Notamacropus eugenii: one gene and its partners. The protein of the gene in region 1 interacts with the protein of each later gene in a pairwise test. Links are inferred from orthologs where the notes say so. Each region holds a gene or a part of one and is shown in the gene's direction. Other genes may lie near its edges.

Region 1 (7,895 bases):
GACCCAGGAAGTCTGGAAAAACTAGGTTACTGCCAAGGCTGGAAACATCCATTTCTCCATTCTGTTGGTTGATGCCCTATGCTTAAGGAAGGAAACAGAAAACAGAATATGGTCGCTAGGAATTCTGGGTGCTGCCCCAGCAGGCACATGTTCCCATTGCTGTGTGCTCATAGTCACCATTGTTGCTGGAGGATGGAGGTGGGGGGAAATGGAAGGGAAGGGTTGGGATGAAAATTTCTTCCCCATCCCTTCCTGGAAGTCCAGGGGAAATAAAGCCCAAAAGACAAACTCAAAGGAGCAGATCCAAAATAGGCAAAGATAGACAGTTTTCCTTCATCCTATAATCTTCAGAGTGGGTGGCTCCTCCTGACTCCAGCTCTCCATCTATGACTGAGTTGCCAGGCACCATCAAGATAACCCCCACTCCCAAACACCAGGGACCAATCAAGAGTAGTTCTATCATCCCAGCAAGGCACATGTCCCACCAGAGGCCAGAGGGCATGTCCAGCTCCATGGGATGTGGTTGAACATAGTAATCCCTTTGCTACCCTCCAATAACAGAATGCAACAGAGATTTGCAAACAAAGTGAGTGTGTGTGTGTGTGTCCCAAAGCCCATTGGTATGGAGCTCTCTCTACTTGTGGAGATCAATGTACCAAGTCTGCCTGAGAGGTGGGATGGAATTGGTAAGACCCAGAGAAAAGAAGGCTTTAGGTTTCCTTTGAACCACCGAGTATCCAGACTTTGGGTGCTTCTAGTTTCTAGCTTCAAGAGAAAAGAGGCAGGAGGTCAATCCCTCTTCAAGTTATTGAAGGAAAAGACTCTGGGAAAATATGAGAGGAACCAGTAATCCCCATCATGTCCCCATCCCTAGCTTGCTTCTCACAAGAATGGATGGAATAAAGGCCTCAGAGAGGGCATGCTCATGACCCCAAGCTGGGAGGGATGATGACGACATAGTGAGCAGTCAGAGAGATCCTTACAGGCTAAAGTCCTGGGCTGCATCTAATAAGATAGCATCTAATAAGATAAAATTCAAAGGGATAAATGCAAAGTCTTCTACAGAGTCCAAAAAATCAATTTCACAAGTGTAGGCTAGAGGAAGCATGGTTAGATATAGCACTGTGAAATCCTAGGATCTGAAGAGAACTTAAAAGTCACAGAACCTTAGATTTTAATCTTGAAGACACCTTGGCAGTCACCTATTCCAACCTCCTCATTTTATAGATGAGGAAACAGAAGCTCAGGGATCTGCCCAGACTGTAAAGTTGTAAGTGGCAGAGCAGGAATTCCAAGCTAGTTTTTCTGACTCATGTTCAGCCGCTTTCTACCTCACCCTGCTGCCTCCACCCAGGTCCCTTGTCTTAACTATCTTTCTTTGTTAGTAGCAAGAGTTCAATTTGGCGTACGGCAAAGGGAGGCATTTCCAAAAATGATTGGCATGTAAAACACAAAACCTAAAACTTATTTTTAAAAAAGAAGCATGTATTATAATATATCATAAATATAGATGGAATAATATAAACATAATGAACGTAATATATAATGATATAAAATATTATATATTAAAAGATCTTTTCCTGTAAAACGCAAAACCTATTTTAATTGGTTTAAAGGACAGGGGAAATTGAGAGAAAGAAAAGATGGAGAGGCATGATAGCTGTCTTCAAGTACCTGAAAGGGGACCAGACCAGTTCTGTCTGACCCCAGAGGACAGAACAAGGAATGATGGGAAGGAAAGAAATAGCAACAATTAGACACCTATTATTTGCAGGCACTGTGCTAAGAGCTTTTGAAATATCACCTCGTTGGATCCTCACAACAGGTCTATGAGGAGGGGACTGTTATTATTCTTATTTTATAGAGGAGGAAAATGAGACATCCCTTCTTTTTTACAATATAATACTGATCCATGTCATTCACATACCATGATTTGTTCAACTATTCTCCAGTTAATGAGCATTCCTTTAATTTCCAAATTTTTCCATTACTAAAAGAGCGGCCATAAACATATTTGTACCCATGAGTCCTTCCCTCTTTCTTCGATTTCTTTGGGGGAAGGGGAGTACAGACCTAGTAGAAGTTGTTATGTTTGTCCTTCCCTCTCGAAGAGGACCATGACATCCAGATGATGACATGACTTGCAGTTGACTTTGATTTGCGTGAGGGAGGGCTGTGCAAGGTCACTAGTCTCATTTTCTCCTCTAGAGCCATCTGGGTCCAGTGGCCTGATATTCATCAGGACAACTGGAGATGGCCCAGGATGCGATGGGAGACCCTGACCCTTTCAGGCTAAGGTCTTATCACATTCTCACTTGGAGTGTGATACACCCATTCTATGAATAGTCTTCTTTAAGTAGTTACTCAAGGGAAGGCTCCTTTACTTTAAAAAAAAAAATCAAACTGAGAGGGGAAGACCCTCAGGGTCCCCAGGTAAAAGAGAAGGTATCAATAGTTCAGAGTATACACAGTTCCATAGCTTTTTAGGCATAGTTTCAAATTTCTTTTCAGAGTATTGGACTAATCCAGGTCTCTACCCACAGTGCATTAATGAGCCTGTTTTCTTCCAGCCCCTCCAGCATGTACTTACCCCCTTATTTTTATTTGGGAAGGTGTCCATTTTTACCAGTCTGAGGGGTGTTAGATGAACCTCAGAGCTGCTTTAATTTGCATGTCCCTAATTATCAGCACCTGAGAGCATGGGGGTCGTTAAGGCACAGCTTTTGAACCACCACAGCTGCCTCCACATGTCAGAGATGATTACATCACGAGTTCCTATGGGGAGAGGGGGAAAGGTGTGGGCTGGAGCTGCTTTAACAGGCTTCAGAGAGCAGATTGTTAACATTTTCTGGGGGAGCATTTACACCTGGGAAATTGGCACTGGATTGGCACATCCTCTTCAATCATTTTTTCTGGAGAGCCTGTCCTTAAAACATTTGCCAGGATATGGCTGCCAGAATCCCTCTCCATGGACAAGTAGGTGGAGCAGTGGATAGAAAGCTGGGTGTGGAGTCAGAAAGACTTGAGTTCAAATCCAGCTTCAGACTTTTACTAGCTGTGTGACCCTGGACAAGTCACTTTTCCCATTTGTTTCCATTTCCTTAATTGTAAAATTAGGATAATAACGATAAATAATACTAATCTCACAGTACTATTGTGAGGATCCAGCGAGGTATTTGGAAAACACATACAGTGGGTGCTGCATAAATCCTCAGTCCCTTCCCTCATCCATGGACAGGTCTGAACAGAGGGAGGGTATATTAGAGGGAGGGTGCAGCTGAAGACCTGGGTTCAGATGAAGCCACTCGGATGCCCTGGGCCTTGGTTTCCTCATTGTCTACAGGAGGGCGCTGGCCCAAGCCCGTAGTAGGTGCTTCCTGACCCTGACCCCAAATCCCAGCAAGAATCCCCCCTTCTCCGGGAGGGCCCCCTCCTCCGGGAAGGCCTCCCTCCTCATTTCCTATTTATCCTGGATTCGTGTTTCCCCCTCCCATTGGATTGGAAGCTCCCTGAGGCCTCTTTTTGTATCCCCAGCTCCTGGCATACAGGAGGTGCTTAATAAATGCTGATTGAATGGAATTGTGGGAGGGGAAGGTGTTTGGGATTCCCCTCTCCCAGAAGGCCCAAGCTGCTTCCTTTTCCTGGCATCTGGCACACAGTCGGCATTTAATAAATGCTTGTGGAAGGAATGCCCGTCCTGGCAGGTGGACTTTAGACCAAGAGATACCAAGGTGTAAACCCAGGGGCCTAATAAATGGTGACGATTTCCACCCACTGCTGACACTAAGTCAAGCACCGTTCCACGTGGACGCTTTGGGCCTCGGTTGCCCACTCTGTAACACGAGGGAACTGGACAGGATCCAGTGCGATCGAATGCAGCAGGCATTAGGCGCCTGCTGTAAGCACTCAGAAGCCGGGAGGTTTGGCCAGACATCAGGCCTCCGGCTCCTCCCTCCTCCCCCTCCCCCTCCCCCTCCCTTTCCGGCGCCAGTCCCCGGGCGCGTGCACAAGCGGACGCCAGGACTGACGCCCGGCAGCACTCGCCACGAGGCCGCGCGCGCGCCCGAGGCCCGACCAGAGAACCGCCCCCCCCACGCCGCGCGCTCTCGGCCCTGGGGCCTGCCCTCGCCGAACGCCTGAGGGGCCATCGCCCCCTCTCCCATTCACTCTCCAACCATAGCTGGACGGGCGCCTTCATTCCCCGCTTGTGATGTCTACTTTTGAAGTCTGCCCCCTGAGGGGTGGGCAGTTCGCCAAAGAGCGCGAGTCCTCCTGCTCAGGGCTAGTCTTCTCTCATTTTATTTTGAAAGACTTGCATTTTCCACTCAGGCACCTCCGAGGTCACCTTCTATTGGGGGGGGGGGGGGGGGGGGGGGGTTGAGCCGTGGCGGCGCAGGCGCAGAAGCCGGTGCGTGGAGGGAGTTATTAAAGGGGCGGGGAAAAGGGGCGGAGTGAAGGCCCCAGTTACGGCGGCTGAGGGGAGACAGATCCAGAGCGCAGGAAAAGAAACCAGCGAAGCGAATAGGCGCTCGGGGTCGGGGAGGGTGGGGCGGGAGTAGGGCCAGGCCCGAAGAGCGTCTGGGGGAGGGGCAGCCGGGCTCGAGAGCGCGCGCGCGGGGCTGCGCGAGGCGGCGGCGCTGCGGCTGCGCGGAGGCTCACGGCCGGCTCGAGGCGGCCCTCACTCCTCGGACCTCCGTGCGCACGCGCCGTCGCGCTCACGCTCGCTCGGGGCGCGAGGCGCAGCCAGGCGGGCCGGAGAGCGAGCGGGCGGGCCGGGGGGCAGCCGCGGGGGCCGAAGCCGAGGAGGGCCGGGCGAGCACAGGGCGGCAGCACGGCGGCCGTGACGGTGGCGGCGGCGGCGGCGCCGGGGCCGGGGCCTGGGCCGAGCCCGGCCCGAGGCGCTGCTGAGGGGCTCCTCTCGTCGTCCCTGCCCGCCTCCCTCTTCCGCACGGTGAGTGCGCGGCCCGGCCCCCGGGAGGAGGGGCCTCCGGCCCGGCGTCCGGCTCGGCCCCGCCGGGGGCTCCTGCCGCGGGAGGGCCCAGGGGGCGGGGTGGGCAGCGGGCCCCCTCCGCCGCCCGAGCTAGGCCTCTGGTGCTGGCGGCGAGGGCGGGGTCGCCTCGGGGCCCGCGGAGGGGAAGCCCGGGGTTTCCAGCCCGGGAAGTGCCGGGCTGGGGGGAGGGGCTGTCCTGCCGCTGCTTGGGGAGCGCAGTCCGGAGAAACTGAGGCCGCCAGAGCGGGGCCCTCTGACGGGCCGGGGCGGGAGGCGTCCAGCGGGGCCTCGTGTGCGTGTGTCCGTGTGTCCGTCTGCCGTGTCCGGGGCCCAGGTCCTGCCCCCACAGCGGGGGGCACGGGCGCCGCGGCTCTGGTCCCGACTGGCCTCGCAGCGAGCCCTGGTTGTGGTTCGTGCTGATGCGGGGAAAGTTTTCTCAGGCTCGCCTCCTCCCCCTCCCCCGTGGAAGTCCCCTGCCGCCCTGCGTGGCACACCCTGTGTGCCTAGCCCGGTGCTGCGGGCTGGCCTTTCCTCCGTGTGCTCAGTCCTCGGGAGCCTCCAGACCAGGGACGTCCGTCTGTGAGCGCAGCAGCCGAGCGAGCCCCCCGTCCTCGGGTCCGCTCAGGGCGGGCGCGCTGCCCCCCTGCGCCTCTGCCCCCCCTGCACGCTGCCCCCCTGCCCACCTGCGTGCTGCCCCCCCTGCCCCCCTGCGTGCTGCCCCCCCTGCCCCCCTGCGTGCTGCCCACCTGCCCCCTGCCCCCCTGCGCGCTGCCCCCCTGCGCGCTGCCCCCCTGCGCGCTGCCCCCCTGCGCGCTGTCCTCCTGCGTGCTGCCCCCCTGCGTGCTGCCCCCCTGCCCCCCTGCGCGCTGCCCCCCTGCGTGCTGCCCCCCTGCCCCCCTGCGTGCTGCCCCCCCTGCCCCCCTGCGTGCTGCCCACCTGCCCCCTGCCCCCCTGCGCGCTGCCCCCCTGCGCGCTGTCCTCCTGCGCCGCTGCCCCCCTGCGTGCTGCCCACCTGCGCCGCTGCCCCCCTGCGCGCTGCCCCCCCTGCGCGCTGTCCTCCTGCGTGCTGCCCCCCTGCGTGCTGCCCCCCTGCCCCCCTGCGCGCTGCCCCCCTGCCCCCCTGCGTGCTGCCCCCTGCGCGCTGCCCCCTGCGTGCTGCCCCCCTGCGTGCTGCCCCCCTGCCCCCCTGCGTGCTGCCCACCTGCCCTCCTGCGTGCTGCCCCCCTGCCCCCCTGCGCGCTGCCCCCCTGCCCCCCTGCGTGCTGCCCCCTGCGCGCTGCCCCCTGCGTGCTGCCCCCCTGCCCCCCTGCGCCTCCGCCCTGACCTGCGCTGTCCTTGCAGGTGCACCGAGCCAGGGACCCCCCCCGGCGCCATGGATAGAAGGGCCGTGGGAGAAGCGGAGAACGGGGACGCCTTCCCGGACCCGAAGAAGCCGCCGGCCTCCAGGTCCCCGCACCGCTACACGAAGGTAGGCTTGGCCGCCTCCTCCCTCCGCTCCCAGGTGTGTCCGGCCTGGCTCGGACCGCGCCGTGTCCTGGAGGGGAGGCTGGCAGGCCGATGCCCGCTGTTGATTGGCGGTGCCGGCAGGTTCCGCAAACGTTCTCCTCTCGTAAGGGCTAAGGCCTGAGCTTTGGGAGACGCGGGTCCTGCGCGGTAGGAGCGGCTTCTTGGGAGGTGACGACACCCTTTCCGAAGGCTCGTCCAGACCGCTTGGGCCGCGGAGGCTGGCTCTTTTCTCTTTTCCTTGTTTTTCCTGGCGGTCGGAGTTAGGTGCGGGAAACGTCTAAAAACGTTTTTGTAGTTGTCAAAGTATCGCAGATGGGTGAGGGAAGGGTTTTAGAAAATGTTGTGGTGGCTCCTGGTGAAAGATCTTGTAGCACGTTGGTAATTCTTACCGTTATCCTTGCCGCCTTTCCTGGGTAAAATAACTTTGCTCCGGCTTTATTTTCAAACAGCACATGGGGGTGGGGGGGTTGCCAGGTGGATCCAAGGAGGCGGACAGGACTCCGTGACAATTCTCTCGTGTTGCCTGTGGAGCCCACAGGAGGTACCAGTGTTGGTGAGAATATCTAGCGCTTCAAAACACATCCTGTCTCTGTGTTGTTGGAAGAAATTCTCTTCTTCGCAAGATTAGCTGTGATTTAGAGTTAAGGGATCTGTTGAAAGTGGGTGAAGTTCAAGTGAGGACCAGTGTAGAGCTCCAGAGCAGCACCGTGGCCTGGTGAGCAGCATATGGCCAGGTCTCCTCTGTGGATGCTGATGCTGCTCCTTGAGCTTGGATATTTACCCTTGCTTTCAGCCCCTCACGCACCATATCCCCTCCTGTCTTGAAAAGTTAGCATACAAATAGTGTTCTTCATTATACCCTTTGGTTTTTATTTGTGGATCTTTTTATATTCCTGGAAACTGGGCCAATAAAACCATATTTGCTAAGTCTTTGTTATTTAGCAAGTTGTTTTGAAAAATACAAAGGAGGGGCAGCTAGATGGCACAGTGGTTAGAGCACTGGCTCTGGGGTCAGCAGGATCTGAGTTCAAATCTAGCCATGTACCCTGGGCAAGCCACTCAACCCCAATCACCTCCCCATCTCCCCCTCCCCCCCAGAGACAGATACAAAGGATTTAGTTGAACAGGAGTGGTAAAATCATGTTCTTAGTTGAATTTTCCCTCTTGCAAGCTTGTTGACTTGATAAGGACCCATTTTGGTAGCTTTGAAAATGCCTTTCTGATGGCTTCATTTTTTAGTTTATCACCTATAGGTCTGTTGGTTTTAGTCATGTTTCAGAAGCTTGTTACACACTGATAATGGAGGGGGGGGGTGACTTCTCCATATGTAAAAATTTGTACCGAAGGAAATTGGTTTTGAAATATTGAAGTATTAGTTGGGAGTAACAGTTGGGGTTGA
Region 2 (7,571 bases), on another chromosome or scaffold:
CACCAAATGCTTCTACAGTTTTCCCAAGCCCTGCCCTATTCTTTCAGACCTGTAGACATTATCCTGTCTCTCATCCCAATTTGTTCTCACATTTGGTTGACTTCAGTCTCTACAAAAACTTATCCAGATTCACCAGTTCCACACATTTGCCCTCGACTTAGTTTCTGCTTTCACACAATGATAAGAGAGCACTCGGTTAACTATTTAAATAGCACGTTGTTCTCTGGAGGGGAAAGTTATCTGAACATAGGTCATTCCTTAAATAGAAGACAGTGCCACAATGGATAACGACCATGAGGATGACTCACCCTTTCCAGGCTCTGCCTCCACTTTCTCCCTAATTAGCCAAGGAACAGACTAAAGAATCTACCAAAAGTCTTAATGAAGTGGCATACCTTGTGCCCTACCCATTTATGGGGTGATTTCTAATTCCTTGGAGGAGGGCAGTAAAACTGTTTAAGATTTATAACATACAAAGTTAATAAGTTACTAGATTTGGAGTTGAGGACCTGGATATGAAATTTAAACACAGGTCTGACCTGGTTACTCTCCTGTTCAAGAAATACCCATGGCTACCTCTTGCATATAATATAAAAAACAAACTCCTGTGTTTGGCTTTTCAAGCCCTTCACAATCTGGTTCCAGCCTACCTTTTTAGGTTTAGTGCATATTATCATCCTACACATATTCTACATTCTTGTGAAATTACCATGTTTGGTGTTTCCTTTAAATGACATTCCATCTGACATCTCTATAACTTTACGCAGACTATCTCCCAAGCCTTGAATGTACATCTTCCTGAGGTTGACCTGGTTTCTCTCATGAGTTCCAGTCCCAAAACACTGACTGCCTTTTGGACATAGATGTCCCACAGATAACTCAAATTTAGTATGTCCAAAACACACAAAAGGAAGATGACAGGGAGAAGAGGAGGGAGGGGAGGTACCCAGGTGCTGGGGAATGAAGGAGAAGTCCAGAGAAGTCCAAAAGCACCAAAAGCAGTGTAGCTGGTGGGAAATAGGGAGAAGAATACATTGAACCCTTTTCTTAAATAAAAGCCTTACAGCCTATGGCCTTGACCTATAGCCAAGAGTGTCCAATTAGAGGGGCCAAAAAATGTGAGTACCAGGCAGATTCAATCTTTCAGGATAATGAAAACCCTGAAAAGGGAAGGCATGGTAGAAAGGTCCAATGAAATCCAAAAGCAGTGTAGTAGAAGAGAAAGGGGGAATCACCATCTTTCCCATTACTAGGTTGGCCACCTCCGTGTTATCCACAATTTCTCACTCTCTCCTAACCTACATATCAATCATTTGCCTAAACTTGTTGCTTCTTCATCCGCAATATCTCAAACATACAACCTCTTCTTCCTACTCAGAGGTCCTCACTCACTCACACACTCCCTACTCACAAACCCTCATTACCTGTGACACATAGGAGATGCTATATAAATGCTTATTCTCTCAACTCCCCCCTCCCTGCTCAGTAGACTCCTAATAGGTCTCCTTCCCTCAAGTCTCTTCTCTCTCCAATCCATCTGGCACACAGCTACCAAAGTGTTATGCCAGAAGGATAGCACTGACCATGTCAATCCTCTTTTCAATAAAGTTCAGTTTATTTATTTACCTCTTGGACAATGGCCCTAAATCTGAAATCTGTGAGGTTTTTTTGGTACAAAATTTTTTGATAACTGTATTTTAACATAATTGTATATTTTATACTTTCATGTATTTCATTTTATGCATTTAGAAACATTATGAGGAGTCTATAGGCTTCCCCAGACCGCTAAAGGGGTCCATGATGAACACAAAAAATGTTAACAACCCTTGCCTTAGGATCAAACATAAACTCCTCTGGAGTTTAAAACCCTTTACAACCCGGCTCCAAAGTATCTTTCTTGTCTCATTATATATTACTTTCATTCTGGTACCCTAGACTAGCCAAACTAGCCTTCTTATTCTTCATTATAAAGGACTCCATTTTTTTGTCTCCATGCTTACCATTGTCTCTTAGAATATGTAGTTTCCTTCAAATCTCAGCTTATGAATCAGTTTCTGCAAGAAGCTTTTCCTGATCCTCCCTGCTCCTGAATCTCCCTCCCACTTACCTCCAATACTTAACATCTGTTTCTTATTTATTTTGTATATGTGTGTATGTATGTATGTATAGTACACAATCAATAAATGCTATTTATTGATTGTGTACTTAAGAGTGTAATAGGTTATTAAGTGGATCAGACAAGATCAAAATCTATTCGCCACAAGGTCCTTCTCTCCTTCCTCCAACCTAGCCAATGTGAAACAGCATCCATCAACCTCCCTCAGTAGCCAGTCACAAAATCAATTTTCACCATCAGGAATTTAGTTCTCATTCAACTGAAAACCCACTGTGCTCTAGTTTAGAGAGTAATTTCTTCTCTTTCCCCACCCCCCTTTTCTGGGAGATTAAGAACAACAGGTTGAAACTGCCCCAAATACCATTTAAAAATATAGGTGCACAACTTGGTAACAAACCTCTTGCTCAGAAAAAAAAAGGCAGGACAATTACCTCAGGATAACATGAGAAACAGGCAGAATACATATGCCTTCACCTACTCATATAATTTCAGGAACCCTGGACAAAGTCTCATCCTTTACCCCATGGTTGGTTGATGCCTTCAAATATCAACATTAGAGATAAATTTTTTTTGACTTCAGGTTTTGTCACCTGTGAACATGTAGATACTCTCACAGATGGGGAAAAGATTGTATTAGTGGTTGTTTGCAACACAATATGGGTAAACTTAAAAGGCAACAAACTTAATGCTGTTTTATCATCATCACTTCTTAAGAAAAGTTATAATAGAGCAGGGCTTCTTAAACTTTTTGCCACATTTCAGAAATGCTGTGATAGAAAAGAATGTGGAGTTAGTAACAGGAAGCAAAAAGGAAAGGTGGGATGGGAGTGGGAGACAGAGGGAAAAGCTATTGATTGCCTTTTGACCCAGCTATACCACTTCTAGGTCTATACCCAAAAGAGATCAAAGAAAGAAGAAAATAACTTTTATATATAAACAAAAATATTTAATAGAAACTAAGAAGTCCATTAACTGTGGAAATGGCTGAATATATTGTGATAGATCACCATGATGGAATACTGCTGTGTTGAACAAAATGAGGAAATATATGATTTCAAGAGACATAGAAAAACTTTTATGAATTAATGCAGAATAAAGGAAGCAGCACCAGGACAACTTATAACATCACAATTACAAAAACAATTTTGAGGACTTAATAAACTGATAATGAAATGAGTGGAACCAGGAGAACAATTTTGTGTGAGAACGCTGTAAAGCTCAACCTTGAAAGCTGTATTATGATCAATACAATGACCCTTAATGATTCCAGGGGACACGTGATGAAATGTTTATTCATTACAGAGAGGTGACAGATTTAGGATGCCAAATGAGATATAATTATATCTACATCTATATTGTGTATACCATTGAAGGAATTTATTTTACTTGACTATGCATATTTGTCATAATAAATTTTTCTTTTTTAGAGAAAATATTTTTTTTTAATGGGGGTGGTAGTGCTACAGATGTGAAATGTGCACACTTAGATGAAGTCACTATTTTATTAGTGTAATTAACTGTATTTCTTTGTTATGGAGGCCTCTCACTGAGTGGGAGTGATCTGTAAATGTAAAACCAAAACACATCAATAAAACTTAAAAAAAAAAATGAACCAAGTCAAACAGGGAAATTTTGTCATTACTATTCTAAATTTACTACACTCTTAAACTGCGTAACAGAAGTTCATTGTGTCCCATACAATTCTCTGCTTTTCTTCTTTGTGTACTGAAATGTTTACAGCTTATTAAGTTCATAATCAAAATTTTAAAAAAGAAAAGAAAGGAAATCCAACTCCTCTAAATGTCATAATTCCGTGCAGAAGGCCATCCCCCCACCCCCCACCCCACCATGCTGTCACTGGTGCGGAGCATCCAGCATCAGAAAACACTCTCATACTGCTGCAAGGTCGCCTATTCAAGGGGTTCACAAGGGTGCAAAGAGGACGCCACCACCGGAATGCACAGGCGCAGATACGTCATTCCCCGTTCTGTCTGCTACTGTTCAGTGCCCTGCGAATGTTTGGCGTTGCCATGGTTGCACAGCCCTCGTGCGAGTTCCAGTCGCCAGGGCAACGGGATAGACAGAAGCTGGGCTCTAGAAGGCGGCAGCGGCTGTGGCGATGATGTCCAAGCCTGTGCACGGGCTGCCCCTCCTGCCGGGTTTCTCCTTCAGCGACCCCAGGGTGAGGAACAGCCCAGCTCCAGCTGGGCCTCGGCACGCCTACTCCCACTCCTCACCTTTTCTAAGGGCAGCTAGCATCCCCAGCTGGGCCCAGTCCCAATTCTTTGCCTCCCACAGCCCATTCCCTGTACCTCTCCAGCCCAGCCCAGCTTCCAGCTCCACCTTCCCCCTCCAGCTGCCGACGTTATCCTTCTTCCAGCTCCACCTCCCTTTACCCAAGCTGCATCCCTCCTCCAAGTCTTTTTCTGCGCCACCCATCCCTTCTCCCAACCTGTCTCCCACCTCTAGCTGTAGACTTCTCCCCCAATCAATCTTATCCTCCCACGACCATCTAGATGCAGCCCTCAGCCCCACTTTTTTCCCTTCTTTCAGACCGATCTCCTTCCCCCTCCAGTCCTCTCCTCTCAAATTGAGAATACCCTGAAACATGATATAAAATTCAAAATAGGCTTCATCTTTTCTCTCGAGGCTTACCCCCAGCCTCAGTCCTCTCTACCAACTCCCATCCGTTCTCTCAGGTCAATCTCCTACTCCACCCCCACCCCCCAACCTCAACCCTCTTCCTCCAACTCCCATCTTTTTTCGTAGCCTAAAGTCAGCTCTCTCTACAGACCCCCATCCCTTCTCCCAGAACCATCTCCCACACCTTTCCCTTCCCATCCAGAACATCTTCCAGCCCCGAGGTCCATCTCTACCCCCCAGCTGCAGTTCCCGGCTTCATTCCCATTCCTTCTTCCAGCAGCAGCCCTTTCTCCATGCATTCCCATTCAGTGCATTCTTTCCCTCAACCCCATCCCTATTTCCTAGCTTCTTCCCTCTTTCCCATCTTCGTTCCCCCATCCATTAACACTAATAATTGACATTTACACAGCCTTTTGTAAAGGTATTTATATAAATTCTCATTTGAGCCTATCCCATAGCCCTCCTAAGTCTCAACCTTGTTCTTTTTCCTCAAAACTCCATTCTTCCTCATCCCAGGTCCAACTCTGTTGCTTCCTCTCCCTCTATTCCTAGCCTATTCCTGTATCTCTCTTCTCCCACGTCCATCTCTCTTCCTTCCAACTCTGTCTCTGAGATCCTCTACCTCTTCTCTTATCTCCATCTCCATTCCTTGCCTGCCCTCTCCACCAGTGGTACAGTATAAAGAGCACAAGCTGGACTGTGGAGTGATCTGGATTTAAATCCTGCTTCTCATCCTTTCTAGCAATGCCACAAAGTGACATCCCTTAACCCATCTGAGCTTCAGTTTCCTCAGCTGTAAAATGGGGATCACAGAATCTAGGGGATGGAAGCACCCATTACATCTAAACAAGAATCTTCTCTATGGCGTCTTCAGCATCCAGCCTCCACATGAAGACCTCCAGTGAGAGGGGACCCACTAATTCCTGAGGCAGCCCATTCCACTTGTGAATAGGTCTAGTTGTTAGGAAGCTTTCCCTTACATCAAGACTAAGTCTGTTTCTCACTACATCCATCATTTCTCCTACTTCTGCCTTCTAGGACCAAATGGAAAAAATACAATATCTCTTCCAGGTCATAGACCTTCAAATACTTGAAAACAGCTACCTATCTTAGATAGGGTGCTAAGTTTTCTTTTCTCCATAGGCTAACCAGGAGGTAGGTACTCTGGGATAACGGTAATTGTTGTACTTACTTCAATAAGTTGTTTTGAGAGAAATAATTAGTAAACCCATATTATGAATGGTAGCTATTATTTTTATAACTCTGCCTCTCCAAGTCTTCACCCCACCTAAGCCCCCTTTCCAAGTCTTTCCTACCAACCTCTGTTAGTGCTTTCACCTGTAAAATGAGATGATTAAATACATATAGCACTTTCTTCACAGGATTGTTGACAGACATGCACTTTGTAAATCTTTAAGCATTCATGATAGAAAATGTGAGTTACCATGCCTCTTCCTTCGGACTGCTAGCCTCATTCCATCTTACTAACTCTAGCTGTCTTCTCCCAGCCCCATCCATCTACAACTTGCTTAAAGGCAAAAGAGACCTTCAGGAAACAAAGTTCACCAATTGACTTGGTCAAGCAAAGCTGTAAAAGAGGGGGAAAAAGTAATCACTCTGATGAAAACTAATCTGACTGGTTGTATACTAATGTTAAAATCTCCTTCTTCATCAACATTTCTTATACTCTTTGAACTTTCTTTTCCCTTCCTCCCTATGTTATCCTTCCCCATTTGTCAGTGTGTCCCTTCCTCTACCCCAGTCAAGATACCGACCCCATCCCTGATCCACTTATACCTTCACATCAAACTGTCTGACAGAATCTCCTCTTCCTATAGCAGACTAGTTGCTTCCTTTCTAAATTTCCAGTTTTGCTTGACCAAGTTAATTGGTGGGTTTTTGTTTCCTGGAAGGTCTCTTTTGCCATTTAGCAAGCAGATTGCACAGAAGGAGCCAAAAGTGTACATACTTTACATTTGAGTTTTCCAAGTGCATGAAATGCTTTGTATTCAATGGCACAAAATGGCGATGTATTTCTCTTGTATTGCACTTAGATGTCAGATTTGGTGAGGGAATAAAAATTATGGGATTCCCTCCCCTTGTTCATTGTGATTATAGGGAAATTGTGAAGTCCTTGCTTGTGTTGATCATCTTTGACCTTCAGAATTAGATGCAAGTTGAATTTTCTGCAATTTGAAAATGATGCTAAAAATTTGCTGGGGATGGTGAGTTAGTACTTAGTAATGAGTTGAAAGTTTTTTGCATATGAGCCTGTGGCCATTCTTAGAGGCAGGCAATTTGAGTGACTTATCAGGCAATGGCTTTCTGCTGTATCCATTGCTGTCACCTAAACAGAATGAACTGTTAGCACTATGCACTCAAACCAATAATTTAAGTGGTACCAATGACGATGCAGTGAATCAAAGTAATGTGAGGTCCTATTTGCAGTATTGTGGGCCATTAGTGGAAATGTACAGAAAAGATTTTGTGAAAGGGAGGGCAAGGTGATGACAGTATATGCTTTTTTCTTGAAAGGCCATTTTTCTAGAATTATCCTGGTTCCTGCATGAGGACTCAAAGTTGAGGCACATTACAAATTAGCGAAGCCTCTTAACCAAAAAGGAAAAAGCAAATTGAAGTAACAGATGCTGCATTTGTCCTTACAGATAGAAGAAGAGAATAGAAATATGGATACCACAACTACTGCTACTGTTACTACTACTACCACCACCACCATTCACATAGTGCCTTATGGTTTGCAAAATACATTATATTATCTTATTTGATCTGACCACGAGGGAGGTAGCACCCA
Region 3 (7,412 bases), on another chromosome or scaffold:
AGTCACTTGTCCTCTGTGAGACTCTGTTTTCTCCTCAGTAAATGGAGGGTGTTGGACCAGCTCTTCATGGTCCTGGGCAGGCTCTTCTGGGGGTCCATGACCTTCCTCCCATGCTCACAAAGGAAGCCTGAGATCTTTGCCTCTCCCTAGTTGGGCCCAAGATCTCTTCTTCAAAAGCCCAAATCCTAAGTTCTGTAAGATGGAGCCAGCATCACTCTAGGATAGAGTCCCCATGCTCCCCTGCATAATGGCCTGGGGGAGGAGGGGGCACAGTCCCTGCTGATGACATTTCTTGTCATCTGGCTACACCACCCTCTCTAGATAACTTGATTGCAGTTATCTACTTGTTAGAGACCAGCCAAATAAGAGTAGATACGACAGAAGGAGGCTAGGAGATGACCAGAAGACAAGAGAATCCAGGGGATGGGGAGGATTGGAAGGAGGTCCTCAGTCCCCTTAGGTTTGGGCTGGCTGTGTCTGCAGGTGAGAGACCACACACAAGTCTAGACAGGTAGAGAAGCTTGTCCTTGGCTTAGCTTTGTCTTTGTGCCCCTCTTCCTGCAACGCACCGCCCCCCCCCAACCTCCCATAGTCCTCTCCAGGGAAGGCTGGCAGTTTGGGAACTAATGGACACATAGCCTTTCCATGAATGCCATGGGCCAGGCTTCAGAGAATGTAGTCAGGAGACAGCGGAAATGCTAGCAGTAAGTTGGGTTGAAGTCTTTCACAGACACCAAAGCACCAGGCCAAGAAGTTAGCTTAAGCCAGAGAGTGTTCCCCTGATGCAAGGGCCCTGGGCCATGTCTGATGCAACTTGACACCTAGAGCAAACTCTGCTGTTGATAAATGCCTTCTAACCATGATTCTATGGAAGGGCATAGACAGGTGTCTGTTCTGAGAAACCGATCGCCCCTAGGCTGTTGTTGATCTGAGGAATGAGGCAAGAGACAAACACTGAGTTCTAAACTGGCCTCGGATATTAGCTGTGTAACCCTGGGCAAGTGACTTAAAAAAAAAAAATTCTCTCTGCCTCAGTTTCCCCAGCTGTAAAATTGCAATAATGATCTCACCTACCTCCAGGGATCAAATAAGATAATAACTCTGAGGTGCTTTGTATGGTGTCTGGGATAGAGTAAGAGCTAATTGCTACCTATTACTATTGTTTAAAAAGCTATTTTTAAAGCCTCCTTTTTATTAAACCGAAAGTACAGTGGAGTGGGGAGAGGGAAGGAGGGAGAGGGAGAGAGAGAGAGAGAAGGGAGGAAAGGAAGAAAGAGGAGGGGGAGAGAAAGAAAGAGAGTGGAGGGGGAGAGAAAGAGAGAGACAGACAGACAAAGAGACAGAGAAATGGGGAGAGAGAGACACAGAGACAGACAGAGACAGAGGGAGAGACAGACGGACAGACAGACAGAGACAGAGACCAAGAGCTGCAGGAGAAGCAGAGAGAAGCACTTGGCAGCCCCAAGGGAAGGCTGTGCATCTGGTGCATGCCATACAGTTGGAGCCCAGGGGATGTCCAAGGTGGGCCCAGGCCACAATTGCTTCTTACGTGCCTGCTTCTCCTTGTTGGTTTCTTATGTGTCCGTTCACCTGCCTGTGCTCAGCTGGCTCTCACTTCTGTCTTCAGCTGGCCATCTCTTACCTCGCTTTCACTTTATTCTACTTTTCTGCGGCTGAAAATGCCAGCCTCCATGCAGGGTCGCCTTATAAGCAACAATCCATCTCTAATATGATTTTAATCTCAAAAATTCTAACTTTTTGTCAGGTTATGATTCCGCAATCCTTATATGATTTTCCCATGGTACCCTGACTAGTTATTTAATTTATAATTTCTCAGTTATAATCTCTTAAAAGTCTAAAAACAGTCACATGCAAATGAGCCAATGGACCACAATGCCCTGTAGTCATCAGTACCTCAGTTAGTGCTGTGCCTAAATACATGTTAACTATCATTATGTTGATGGTTATAGTATCTTTATTATTATAGCTATTTTGAAAGCCCTGGTTTGTTTGTTTTTAAGCCAAAAGTATGGTGCAAAGAGAGTGAGCCTTGTTTCCAAGGGTCACAGCTGGAAGCAGAGAGAAACGTCTGATTTTCAACAGGTTCATTTATCCTTCCAGTTTCATAGACTCTCATCCTAGGTGTCATCCTCATTTTCTCACATCCCACAACCAATCTGTTGCCAGATCTGTCAATATCACCTTTGCAATATCTCTCTAATATACTCCCTTCTCTCCTCTGATACTGTCAGAAATCTGGTGCAATATCTTCTCACTCATGTCTTCTGGCTGATCACTAAAAGTGAACACACCTGTGGGGGCCCCAGCTACAATTTTAAGTAAATGCAAATCCATAGGCTTAACAGCTCTGTGAGTTGGGATTGAGCCCAGATATTACAGAATAAATTTGAAAGTGGAAGGAACCTTAAAAGTTATGTATTACCATTCCATCATTTCAAAGATGAGAAAACCGAGGCTCAGAAAAGTTGAGGGACTTGCCCAAAGTCACAGAGGCAGGGAGTCTAACCCAGGTCCTTTGACTCTGAATCTGAAATTTTCCACACTCACTGCCTTTCTTCAGTATCTGGCTCATGGTCTCAAGCCCAACTCCTGCTGACATACTCAAGGACTCCAATGTGTGTGTTGTTTCCCCTCAGACACCCTGGCCTCCTCCTTCTAAGGGGTGCTCATACTTTTGATCTTACTGTCATCCAGAACTGGTTTACCTTCGTGATCTAGAACTCAGAAGTTCCTTTCTCTGACCACAACTTCCACGTATCCATGTGACTCATTCCTCTTTACTCCATCTGGCCTCATGCTTCTCCTCTGAAGTCTTCAGACTAGAATTAAACAGCTCAGCTATCACCTGACCTCTACATGGAATTTCCTTGTCCCTTTCTCCTACCAGTACCATTCATTTTCTCTGTTCCTTGTGGCCAACGGAGGAGGTCATCCAACCTTGCCTTACTGGGTCCATTACAGATTTATGTGACCTGATCTCAACTGGGCCCTGAGACAATCTTTTTATTTTGATCTGTTGCTTTTCTCAAAACTTCCCTTTTTTTTCTCAAGTCTTATAAATCTCTCCTTGTCCAAACTTGGTCATCAAAAGACTTGGCCTCCTACTTAGGTATTCACAATAACCCTAACTGTGTCCTACCCTCTCCCCAAACCCTTGCTCTAAGCATCCCTTATCTCCTCCTCCTTCCCTTTGGATTCTGAGGACCATGTGTCTGTCTCCTAGGCAAAGCCAAACTTTACCCTTGTGTACTGGATCCCATCCCCATCATACTCCTTCAGAAGCAGAACCTGTCCTTGCTGTTTTCAGTTTCCTATCCGAAGACCCCAAGCCTAAACTCTTGACCTTCCCTTAGCATCCCCTCAAGCCAATGCCCCACATTTCTTTTCTCTTTCACAATTAAACTGCTAGAAAAGACTGGAAGGTATCGCAAGGTGAAAGATCATAGATTTTAGAGCTGGAAGGGACTGTAGACACCACAATCATTGATCGATAAGTATTTATTAAGTACCTACTGTATACCCTGCTCTGTATAAGCACCAGGTAGATGAAAAGAGGCAGATGGTCCCTGCCCTCCAGGAGCTCCCAATCTAAAGGTGGAGACACATATAAGCAAATGTATATAAAGGAACACATGGGATAAATAGGAGGTGATGGGGGCGGGCCAAAAGGAGGCCGGGGAGGTCAGTGGTCAGAGCAGAGGGGCGTGTTGCAGGCCTGGGGGATGGCCAGAGAGATGCCCAGAGCCCAGAGGGAGGGTCCGGGGGCAGCTGCAAGGGTGGGGGGGCTTGGAAGCCAAACAAAGCCCCCGTATTGGATGCTGGAGACGAAGGGGGCGCCTGGGCTTTGCCGAGGAGGGGGTGGCATGTGCAGAGCCGAGCTTTGGGGAAGTGACTGCCCCCCAGCCTCAGTTTCCCCCTCTGTGAAATGGAGGGGTTGGATTGGAGGGGTCTCAAGCCCCTCTCCTGGGGCCTCCGTTTCCCCGTCTGTAAGCTGAGGGGGTTGGACCCGCGACCTCTTGCCCCTTGTCTTCCCTGGCCTCAGTTTCCTCTTCTGTAAGGAGGAGAGCGGACTGAACGGCGCCCGGCCCCCCCACCTCCTTCTCCACGCCCCGCGTAGGGGCGGGAATGTCGTCAGCTCTGCCCCGCCCCCTTTCGCTCCGCCCTCAGCCGTGGTCAGGAGGAGGAGCCGGCTCGCCCCCGCCCAGCCCAGCACTGCGCAGGCGCCTCGCTCGGTCCTGCCCCCAGCCCCAACCCCGCCTTCCCGAAGAGGCGCTCGCTCCGCTCCCCCCCCACCTCGGCCGGGGGCTCGCGCGCTGTGCTTCCGGCTGTACGCAGCGCCACCGGAAGTATCCGGGGGGACCGAGGCCGAGGGACTCGGCGGAGCGGAAGTCAGCGAGTGAGACGACGGCGGCGGCGGTGAGAGGATGAACAACAAGTTCGACGCGTGAGTGGCGTGGCGCGCGGCCCTAACCGCCGCCCCGGGCCCGGGCCCGGCCTGAGCCTGAGCCCGCCCCCGCCGGGGCCCGCCCGGGACCGAGGCCGGGGCCGGGGACCCCCGGGCGGGGGAAGGGAGGCCCCGGGCTGGGGCGGGAGGCGGGAGGGGGGGCAGAGCCGGGGCGCCCACCCCGTCGCTCCCCCGCGTCGGCGCGCATGACTTAGCGCTGGGGGTGCCTGGCGGGGCGGTCGTGCGGTGCAGCGGCGAGGGCGCTGGGTGTGGAGCCCAAGGACCTGGGTTCGAATCCTGACCCTGCCACGACCCTCTGTGACCTTGCGCAAGTCCCTTCTCTGGGCCTCAGTTTACCTTTTCTTACTTAGTCGCGGGGTGGAAGCTGTCCGAGGGCAGCCCCCAAGGCCCCCAGCGCGCCCTCCGCGTGCCAGACAGGTGGGGTGCATCCCGTACACAGTAGGCGCCTACTGTTTGGGGGCCGGGCCCCTGCCCTCCGGGAACTTCCATTCTGCGGGGCCTGGGGCTTTTCCAGCCAGTGTTGAAGAGGTAAAAGCCAGACGGAAAGCTGGGCGATGGGGGGGGGGCCAGGAAGTGTCCTGCAACCACGTGCGGCTCCCCTGTCTTGGAGGGGGCGGGAGTCCGGGACCAGGCCCTGGCACCTTGGGTGACCTTGGCCAAGTCACTGTGCAGGAGGGGCAGGAAGGGCTTGGAGAAGGGGCGAGGACCGGCTCCCGCCTGAGCTGGGCCAGGCTCTCTTTCTGCTGGGTTGGACTCGTGGGGTCCTTTGCCTCCCCAGGCCCGTGGTCTTGTGAGCCCTACAGGAGTTCTCACAGGAGGGGAAGTGACTGGCCCAGAGTCACCCAGCTAGGAAGTAACAGAGCCAAGATAGAAGTCCTGGAAGGGGCCCCAGGCCTCAGGGCTAGCCCCCTCCTTTTACAGATGGGAAAACTGAGACTCAGAGAGGGAAAAGGACTTGGTGAAGACATTGATGAGACCCAAACTCAGATCTCCTGACTAGTACCCTAGCTTCCTTCTTTCCAGGCACAGAAAACACTCCTTGAGAAATTTGTCAAAGTCCACTTCCTTATATCTTCTGTTACTGTTAAGCAGTGCATGTCTCACAAGTAACTGGGTTGCCGAGAGGAAATGTACTTCCAAGGCCTCCACCCTTCTCCCACCGTTCTGTCCTCAGATAGGTTTCTCCTTCACTTTCTTGGAATAATACAGAGCTTTGTTGTAAGATTAGGACACGGTACGGTCGATTCGTAGACGTGTGTGAAGAGAAACTCCAATTTCATGTTGCTAAAGCGGACTTGTTCAGTTACAGGATAAGAGTATTTCTGCTCAGAATCAGGGTTCCTGCATTTTAAGTGTTTGAGGTGGTCCTAGAAGCTGCAATGTATTGTTAACATCACTGGAATCCATGTCCCACGATGGTAGAATTGGCAGCTGAGGACCAGATTTAATAAGATGAAAGAGAAATATAAAGTCTTACATTTGTCTTAAAAAAAAAATCACCCGTACAAGTCCAGAATGGGAGAGGCTCAGTGAACACCCCAATGTCCCAGGCTAAGGAGGCCATGGCTGTCCTCTGCCCTGATCACAGGGCGTCTAAGGGGTGGGTTCAGTCCTGTGCACTGCATCTGGGGAAAGAAACTGGCCAGCTAGAGTGTGTACCCAAGGTGGGGGAGGGGAAGGGCTAGGGGACAGGGGAAAGGGTAGACAAGGAGACTCTGATCACAAGGGGAATGGAAACTGGGTTTTCTAGGGGTTGATTCCAGGGACTGAGAATGTTAAACCCAGAGAAGAGAAGGCAACTGGGAAGGCTTTGGCCAGCTGGCAGGTGGGAGAGGCTTTGTTTTCCTTGGGGTAGGGGTAGAATTAGGAGGATGGAGTAGACCCTGCAGAGGCAGAGTGGAGAGAGTGTCCTCATAGGATGTGGAGGTTTCCCATAAAGACTGAGTACCTCACTGTCACAGATGTTGCTCAACTGAAGGTAGAACCGTGTAGTCAGGCCTCAGCTTCTGTGGTTCCTCAGGAAGGTTTCCTGAGTCAAGTTTTCTTTCATTAGGAAAAGCGTTTGCCCAGTATCTGTGTTTGCTCTCATCTCTGTTTTATCTGTCCAATGCTATGGAGCCCTTCCTGTAGCTCCTGTGTCCTGTTATAGCGCTTACTGTCTGCAGCATTCATCTGGTGCTTTGTCTAGTCACTTGTCACGTCATGTCAGTGGGTCAGCAAGCATTTAGTAAGACAACACAAGAATTACTAGCCATGGATGAGATGTATTTAGAATAATCGGAAGCTGATCTCTTAAGAGAAAGCAGAAGGAGCAAGGAGGGCTCATTGCCCTCTCATCCCCCACTCCTTCCAAGTAGCAAATGCTCAGTGAAGGTTGGTTGATGGTGGGTTCTTATTCAGGGGAGCTGGAACCTGAATTAATCACCTTTTTCTATAATAAATTCATGCATTTAATGCCTCTAACCTAGGGTATAGTTTGAGCATTTCTAGTCTTAGTTGCATTAACCACATACCTCCCTTGAGCTACAGGGCAACAGCCAACAGTGATTTCAGAGCTCCCACTTTGTTGTTGATTTAGAGTACCTTTTGTGCCGAGTCCATTCTCCTTGAGTTAGTCCTTCCTGTCTTTCTCCAGTCCTAGAATTAGTGCCCGATCCTTATGCGTTGAATTGGGAAGGGGGCACCCAGAGGGTTTAGCAGGGCCAGGCTGGAGCCCTGGCATTCTGGGATGATGCACTTTTGATGCCTGTGGTTTGTTCGGGGTCTTCATGTGCGGACATAGGCTTTCTGCTTGGGAGCTGCCAGGAGTCCTTTCCTTGTTTTAACTTTGGTCATCTTCCACACCCACGCTGAATTTAGGGGGTTTCTCTTTATTCAAGACAGTGAATCTTAGAATCTCCTGGTTCTTTTGGATGAAGAAGAGATA
Region 4 (7,506 bases), on another chromosome or scaffold:
CCGAAATGTACTCCAAACTTGACATTCCAGGTTTTCTCTCATGCCTTTGTACAAATTCTGTGTCTGGAATGTCATTCTTCCTCATGTCTGGGGCCACTGATGTGCAAAGCCTTTTCTGAGACCCTTAGTTGCTAAGTGTTCTCCCCCTACTTGGTTATCTTATTTTCTTAACGTTGGGTCTCTTTTGTGTGTGAGTTGGACTAGAGAGCCAATAAACATACATCTCTCAAATAGGCTATATATCCAGATGAATATAAAATCTTCATGAGAAATAATATTTTGTTTCTTGTCACTGCTTAGAATAATGTATTTTTTTAAGCACTGCTTTTAGTAAGTACTTAGTTGTTGAATTCAAAGCCACAGAATTTCAGAACTGGAAGGGCCTTCAAACGCAGTCACCACTGATCCAACCCATCCATATCTGGAAAAAAAAATCCCCAATACAACATACCTGACAGAGATCATTCAACTTTTGTTTGAAGATTTCAGGTAAGGGGTGTGTGTGTGTGTGTATATGGGGGAGGGAGGGAACTGGGCTCTTCTCTCAATTCCACTTCTGGTTGGCTCTCATTGTCAAGTTTTTCTGTACCAAAAGCCAACATGTCTTTTTATAATTTTCATGGGTTGCTCCTAGTTCTGTCTCTGAACAAACCTAATCTTTCCACGACAGCCTTTCAAATACTCAATAGTTGCCATGCCCTTACCCTGTCTTCTATTCTCCAAGCAGATATCCCTACCTTTTTTCAAATAACCTTTCAGTGTCTTAGTTGCCCTTTCTCTGAACCCTCATTTATTCAAGGAGAATGATGAAAGGGGAAAAAGACTTCAGCCACAGTCAGAGGTCCTGAGTTCAGCTGTCAGCTCTAGGTCTTACTACCCCTTGTGCAGCTGGGCAAGTCACATCTTCTCTGGTCCTCACTTTCCTCATATGTAAAATAAGGGGGCTAGACTAAGCATTCTCCAAGGTCTCTCTCAGTTCTTTTATGTAGGACTCTATGTAGTTGCCATGCCCTTACCCTGTCTTCTATTCTCCAAGCAGATATCCCTACCTTTTTTCAAATAACCTTTCAGTGTCTTAGTTGCCCTTTCTCTGAACCCTCATTTATTCAAGGAGAATGATGAAAGGGGAAAAAGACTTCAGCCACAGTCAGAGGTCCTGAGTTCAGCTGTCAGCTCTAGGTCTTACTACCCCTTGTGCAGCTGGGCAAGTCACATCTTCTCTGGTCCTCACTTTCCTCATATGTAAAATAAGGGGGCTAGACTAAGCATTCTCCAAGGTCTCTCTCAGTTCTTTTATGTAGGACTCTATGCTATGTTCTGCCTAAAATGTCATGCCCAGAACTGAACACAATCCCTGCAGATGTGATCTGAACAGGGCAGAGCGCAGTGAAACAATCACCCTCTTACTCACATACCTGTCTTCATGCATCTTAAGAATGATTTAGCTTCTTGGCTGCCACATGTCATTGCTAATTGCTACTAACTGAATCTGTAGTTAAATAAATTCCCTAGTTCTTTTTCACATGAATTGCTGTCTGGCCACACTTCCCCATGTCTTGTATTTGTGGGACTTTTTCAACATGTGTAACACTTTACATTTATTCCTATTGTTTCATATTATTAAGTCTCAATCCAGTGTTCTAGCCCATCAAGGTCTTTTGGAATCCTGAATGTCATCCAATGTGTATTCCTCCACCTTGGTATCAGCTATGAATTTGACAAACATGTCAACCTGGTCTTTATCCAAAATGCTGCTAAAAATTCCTGGGGCATACCATTGAAGATTTCCTCCTGAAATAACTTAAAGCCATTAATGCTGACTCTTGGGGCTCAGCCATCAACCAGCTATAAATTCTTCTGTATTTTGTCATATAGCTTACACCTCTCCATCTTTCCACCAGAACAACATGCCAAATCCTTTGCTAAAACTTTTGCACTGCCCTATTTTAACAGCTTAATAACCCTGACAAAAAAAGGAAATGAGGTTAGTCTGGCATGACCTGTTTTTGATGATGCCATGCTGACTCTTTGGGATCACTCCTTCCTCTTAGAGATGAATTTAAAGATGTTTGAAATAAATTAAGAAACTGATCTAAGTGAACAATCTTAGATTCCTTTCAGCCACAATATTCCAACTGATCTATTGTTTTTGAAATTGTTCACAACTTTTATATAAAAGGACTTAGTTACCTAATACCAGTCAGGGAGTAAGCAAGATCTAGTTAGAAATGCTGGATATTCCCTTAGAAAATCTTTAGAAACTACCTCCAGAATAAGCATTATCTTTACTCTTACGGAGCAACACAGTAGCAGATACAGTCCATCAAATTGTGAGCACTTCGTCAAGGCTTCTAGGAATGCCTAACCCGTATTATCTTGTTTTTGTTTGGAGGTACCAAAAGAAAATTGGTAAATCAACGTGTTTGAATATCCACTCTGACAGAGACTGATAAGGAAGATGCTACTAGGGGAACAAAATAAATAGGCATGAACTGTTTTTTTGCAAACTTTACAATCCACTGAAATTATTTTAAATTTATGAAAGATGAGATGAAAAATACACCCAAGAAAACACTCAAACTAAACAAATCCAGCTGTAAAATGCTTGGTATATACATAAATATCAGGAAGGTGCTGGAGTGATTAGAAATCGATCTTTTTTCTCAAGAACTCAATTTTTTTTTCCCATAATGCAAACAGGATCTGGATTCAAGGAAGGAAATGATTAACAAGGTTAGTCTTTGTAAAAAAAAAAACTTTATTATGTGAACTGATTTAAATTTTATGGGTAGGGGACTTCCATTTCTGCTTCACTTTTCCTCTGGTTCCTGCAATAAAGTCTGGTATTATGGAAACAGCCTTAAGAATTTTGCAAGAAGGTAGTCTGATGGTGGCCACTATTAAGAAGAAAATACCAGTAAAATCAAAAGTTTTTGACTATTTTAAGCAAGAATGGTATTTTCTATAGAGATATCTTTTTTATCCTCTTTAATTTTGTCGGAATTCTTGTCTAATACATCTATACAAAATAAAAGTCTGTTACATTCATTACCTTGGGCACTCAAAGTCAATCTATAGACGAAAAGATGATGACCTTGAGGCCCACGGGCAGCCCCAATGATGTGCAAGCCAATTCAGCTTCCATTATGCACTCAACAATAGGTATGACACTGCCTCGGACATCAGCTTCAGTAACAGCAGGCAGGTATATGCCATAGTGGTAACTTTCTGAGACGACATTCTTCAAGGCATGGGAAATAGTGGCGGGGGGGAGTTCCTCAAAGGGCCCTCTTGGTAGCGCATTACCAGACTTCTTTTTCTGTACCAGTTTTATTAATAAACAGACCATGTGCAATAGCACCGACCTGGAACATTCTAGGTACTGAGCAGAGGGGAGGGGGTCCAGGGTGACACATCGCCCAGGGCTGGGGGCGGATTTCAACGCAGTCCCCGTCAATTTCAGTGAAACTGACCATCTGCCGGAGGGAATTTACCTGGGAGGGGGTTGGGAGTGGGCTTTTTTTTTATGGGGGGGATTCATGATTAGCCGGCCCACCCGGAGAGGTGGTTAGGCGAGGCCGCAGCTACTGCCCCTCTCGGGCCGGGAACCCCACCCCCCAGGCCGGGGCGGCCGCGCGCCCTTGTGAGGTAAGGCAGCTTTGAGACCGCAGGCGGGAAAAGCCCAGGCCCCCGCGAGGCAGTCACTGGCCGGGGGCCCGGGCTCATTGTTTGCCAGGCCCCGCCAGCCCCGGCCGTCAGTCCGGCGCTGGGTGACCAGGGCCGCCGGGTGCTGCTCCGGGGGGGGGGACTGGCCTCAGGCGCCTGACGCGGCTGGACACCGAGCACCGAACGCCGGGCCTCCGAAGGCCCACTCCCGCCCCCGCTGCTAGGGCCCACTCCGGGCAGGCATGGCCGGGAGGCGCCAGCGCTAGCCGCGTCCCGGCCCCGCGCCGTCCCGCCGGCCGCTCGTCCCCGCTGCTCCTTTCCGTTCACTAATAAATAGAGAAGAGAATGAAGGCGGCCGTGAGGACCAGGGTGGCGGGAGGAACCAACGACGCCAAGTGAAGGCGGCCCCGGGAGCCTTGCGGAGGCGCCCAGCCAATGAGGTTTCTTCCTGTGAGCTGAGCCCACGGGGATGATGGGAAGCCGGGGGACGGCGGCGCACCGACGGCTCTAACGCGGAGGAAGAACGCAAGACGGAGGAGACCCCCTCCCGCCGCAGCCTCACTTTCGCAACCGGACCGAGCCCCACCTCTGCCTCACCTTCCTAGCCCCACTCACCCGCCCGCAGCTCAGCGCCGCACCGCCTCCGTAGCCACGTGATCAGTCCTCTTCCCAGCCTTCCTCCTCACTTAAGGGGAGGGGAGGGAGAGGGGGAAAAAAAGACTCCACTTCCCAGAAGCCCTCGGTTACCCACGCACCCGCCACCTTGCGCAGGCGCTGCCCGAGCCAAACGGACACGCTCGTCACGTGGGGGGCGACCGGCCAATCCGGTTTGAATTTCATTTTTTTACTCTTACCCCCCCTTCAGGAGCGGTTGTCTGATCAGATCGATCTAAGATGGCGACTGTGGAACCGGTGAGTGTTGCCTTCGGCCCCCCCACCCCCTACCGGGTCCCCGCGCCCGGTTCCCCTGGGGCCTGGGAGACTCCGCGGGACTGCGCTCCCGGCGCGCACGCAAACTCCTCGCCGCCCCCTCCCCCTCTGTCGGGCGCTGACCTCCCGGCGACTGCGGTGACTGGGGGCGCCGGGGAGGCGGCTGCGGCGTGTAGCGCACACATTCTAGTGGGGGCAGGCGAGACGAGAGAAGAGGTGGGGGAGGGGCGGCGGGGAGCCAGCGGCGGTGTGAGCGCGAGGTGCCCGGATGGGGGAGGAGGGAGGGAGGGAGGAGGGCTAGGGGCCGGGTGGGGAAGTTGCGGGACACGGGGCCGGGGCCCGAGCTGGGGGGGGGGGGGGGCAGGCGGTGGGATCGGGGCTCTCCGGTCGGGGCTGGTGGCGAGCGCGTGGGGCGAGGAGTACGGCGAGGGTCGGCGGCGGCGCCACCGGCCGTCGTGGGGACGTGCGCCGGCGGTCCGCGAGGTGAATGTCGGGGGTTGGTGGGGCGGGCGGCGGCACGCGCGGAGGGCCTGCACCACGCCGGCCGCCGGGGCGCGGGGAGCGCGCGCGAGCGAGCCGCCGGCCGGGGTTGGGGGGCACGGGGGGCCGAGGGCGGGGGGCGGCTCCGCCTGGCGGTGCGCGACCGCGGCCCGGGGGAGCCGGGGCGGGAGCACCTTGCGTGCCCTCCTGGGCGCCGGCCCGGACTGTGCGGGAGGAGCGATGGCGAGGGGCGGGGGCCGGGCCGGGCCGGCTTCGGACTGCCCTCGGCCCTCCATTCATTCATCCTTGCCCCCGGTGTGCGCATTGCGCATGCCTTGGACAGTGGGAAGAGGCCCGAGTCTTCGATCCCTCCGAGGCCAGATGGATTGGTAAATTGACCCCGTTGGGCGGAACTTGTGACGAACTGGGGCTTTTATTTCTCGCCGGTCTCTCTTCCCTCCCGGTCGGGTCCAGACAGCCGCAGCTTAGACCGGGAGAAGCAGACAGACCTAGGGTAGGCAGTGCCCTGCACTCCCCAAAGGGGGCTGGAACATGTGTCCCTTGGTGGGGCTTACCATCTGCCCTTCTGGCCGAGGCCTCCAAAGCCCCTACGTGGCAGTTTTAAATCTATAAAACACCCAGACTCCGAAGCACCTCGATGACACTTGAACTGAATGAACAGTTTCATAGCAAATGACTTGAAATCTTAATAATTCCTTCAGAACTTTTTCCTTTTACAGTTAGCAGTTCTCTCCATTTCATTGAGGAATTCTTTCCTTAGTTCCCCACCCCTAGTTGTGTTCATAGGGACCATACATTTCTGCCGTGCTTGTTATGTCCTTAGAAAAGTAGTTACAGTTGTGAAAAGTACTTTGATCATTCAGCCTTCTGGTTTTTTTTTTCCGGTGATTGAAAAACTTACCCGACCTGTGTAGTCTCATTAAAGTTGCTTTTTTATACACACATATATGTGATTTAAATAGAGCTCGTTTTATATATGAGGTCCAGAGATGTTAAAAACTATGACCTATTAAGTATTTGAGCCAAAATCTTCATCAACTCCAAATTCAATGCTTTTCCTAGTATACCTTATTACTTTGTTCTGGGCCTTCTTACGGAATGATTCCCCCAGACTTGCACAAAGTAGGTTTTTTAAATTACTTCTGCACTTACATTGATTTTTTTGATAAAGGGTTGATAAAGGGTTTGTACAAATGTTGGGGAATAAATTTGTTAGCTTTAGAACTCTTAAGGTTCTGCTACAAAAAGAGGGCAGGATATTTAATTTTACATACGAACAAAGCATTAACTTTTAAAATATTTGCAGGTCTTTAAGTCTATGTCAAATTGAACCTTGTGTAGCGTTCACTATACAAGTTTACCCCTGGAACCAAGTTAGTAGTAGTAGGAGTAAAGTAAAATAACTTTTAAAACAGTAGTGTAGTTCCACAAAGAATTCTTAATATTTGGGGATTTTCAAAACTATACAGTATTGCTTTGATTACCACATAGCCAGTACTAACTCAGACAACAGATTAAACAGTTCTGGATTGCATTCTACCAGATACCAGCCTATAATTTGAAAAACTAGCATGTTGATTCAGGTGGCTTGGGAGTCTTACAATGAGCATTTACTACCATGATTTCTTTTTACCTGTCCTTTTTTCAAGTAGGTATTTAGAAAGCTGCTATGTATCTGGAATCATTTGAGTTTTGATACTGCTTTTGTAACATTTGATCTTGTGGAAATAGATACATCAAAAAATATGTAACCTTTTGGTTTAGGATTTACAAAATACCAATGTGTTGGATATAGTGTTTTTAACTCTGAAACAAACTTATTAATATCTAAATATTTGAGAACAATTTGAGAACAATTTCAAGTTTTATCTAATGACTCAGTAAAGTGTGTAATTAAAATGTAGGTTGCTTTATTCTCATTCTTGTTCTTTGAACTTAATTTCAAACCAAAAACTTCTTTTTCCTAGACTACTAGGTAATTTTAAAAAAAGTTTTACAAATAAGTATGTTCACCTGGTTTCAGTTTGGCTTGGTTTGGTTTAGTAATGATGCAACCTGCATCTCTTAGCTCTGTAAACAGAAGTGTAGTTTGAATCAGACTTGATTATAATGTTTTATAGGAAAACAGCTTTTGTATAGATATCTTAAATTCATCATGATTAAATCTTAAGCTAGCATTTTGTATTCTTAATGATTCAGCTACTCCTGAGGCTAAGGTCCCTGTCTCTTGGACACAGAATATGTAAAACTTTCTTTTTCAGTTTTCCTTTGTGAAAAGAGAACATTTTATTTTCTCATTTCTTGAGAGTTTTTCTGTCAAAGTGAATTATTTGAGGCAAAATATCACTTTTCTCTTTTGTCCTTTTACTTATTTCTTGGCTAGGCCACAACTAAATATTGCTGGTATGG

The links.
Region 2: the proteins of EIF4ENIF1 (region 1) and EFHC1 interact in binary tests that used the Homo sapiens proteins (3 or more experiments, as listed by UniProt). The two-hybrid records come from large-scale screens. The link is inferred for Notamacropus eugenii from reciprocal best matches to the Homo sapiens genes EIF4ENIF1 and EFHC1.
Region 3: the proteins of EIF4ENIF1 (region 1) and EIF4E2 interact in binary tests that used the Homo sapiens proteins (3 or more experiments, as listed by UniProt). The two-hybrid records come from large-scale screens. The link is inferred for Notamacropus eugenii from reciprocal best matches to the Homo sapiens genes EIF4ENIF1 and EIF4E2.
Region 4: the proteins of EIF4ENIF1 (region 1) and EIF4E interact in binary tests that used the Homo sapiens proteins (3 or more experiments, as listed by UniProt). The link is inferred for Notamacropus eugenii from reciprocal best matches to the Homo sapiens genes EIF4ENIF1 and EIF4E.

The regions. Positions count from the first base shown.
Region 1 is NC_092875.1:13,630,158-13,638,052, forward strand, and holds the start of EIF4ENIF1 (eukaryotic translation initiation factor 4E transporter), read left to right. Parts: upstream 1-4,817; 5' UTR 4,818-4,951; intron 4,952-5,587; exon of another isoform or gene 5,588-5,605; intron 5,606-6,331; 5' UTR 6,332-6,362; coding exon 6,363-6,458; intron 6,459-7,895. UniProt on the Homo sapiens protein: EIF4E-binding protein that regulates translation and stability of mRNAs in processing bodies (P-bodies). Plays a key role in P-bodies to coordinate the storage of translationally inactive mRNAs in the cytoplasm and prevent their degradation.
Region 2 is NC_092873.1:118,739,555-118,747,125, forward strand, and holds the start of EFHC1 (EF-hand domain-containing protein 1), read left to right. Parts: upstream 1-4,115; 5' UTR 4,116-4,235; coding exon 4,236-4,298; intron 4,299-7,571. UniProt on the Homo sapiens protein: Microtubule inner protein (MIP) part of the dynein-decorated doublet microtubules (DMTs) in cilia axoneme, which is required for motile cilia beating.
Region 3 is NC_092873.1:57,580,961-57,588,372, reverse strand, and holds the start of EIF4E2 (eukaryotic translation initiation factor 4E type 2), read left to right. Parts: upstream 1-4,234; 5' UTR 4,235-4,445; coding exon 4,446-4,465; intron 4,466-4,734; exon of another isoform or gene 4,735-5,014; intron 5,015-7,412. UniProt on the Homo sapiens protein: Recognizes and binds the 7-methylguanosine-containing mRNA cap during an early step in the initiation. Acts as a repressor of translation initiation.
Region 4 is NC_092878.1:136,684,885-136,692,390, reverse strand, and holds the start of EIF4E (eukaryotic translation initiation factor 4E), read left to right. Parts: upstream 1-4,401; 5' UTR 4,402-4,560; coding exon 4,561-4,578; intron 4,579-4,977; exon of another isoform or gene 4,978-5,079; intron 5,080-5,384; exon of another isoform or gene 5,385-5,465; intron 5,466-7,506. UniProt on the Homo sapiens protein: Acts in the cytoplasm to initiate and regulate protein synthesis and is required in the nucleus for export of a subset of mRNAs from the nucleus to the cytoplasm which promotes processes such as RNA capping, processing and splicing.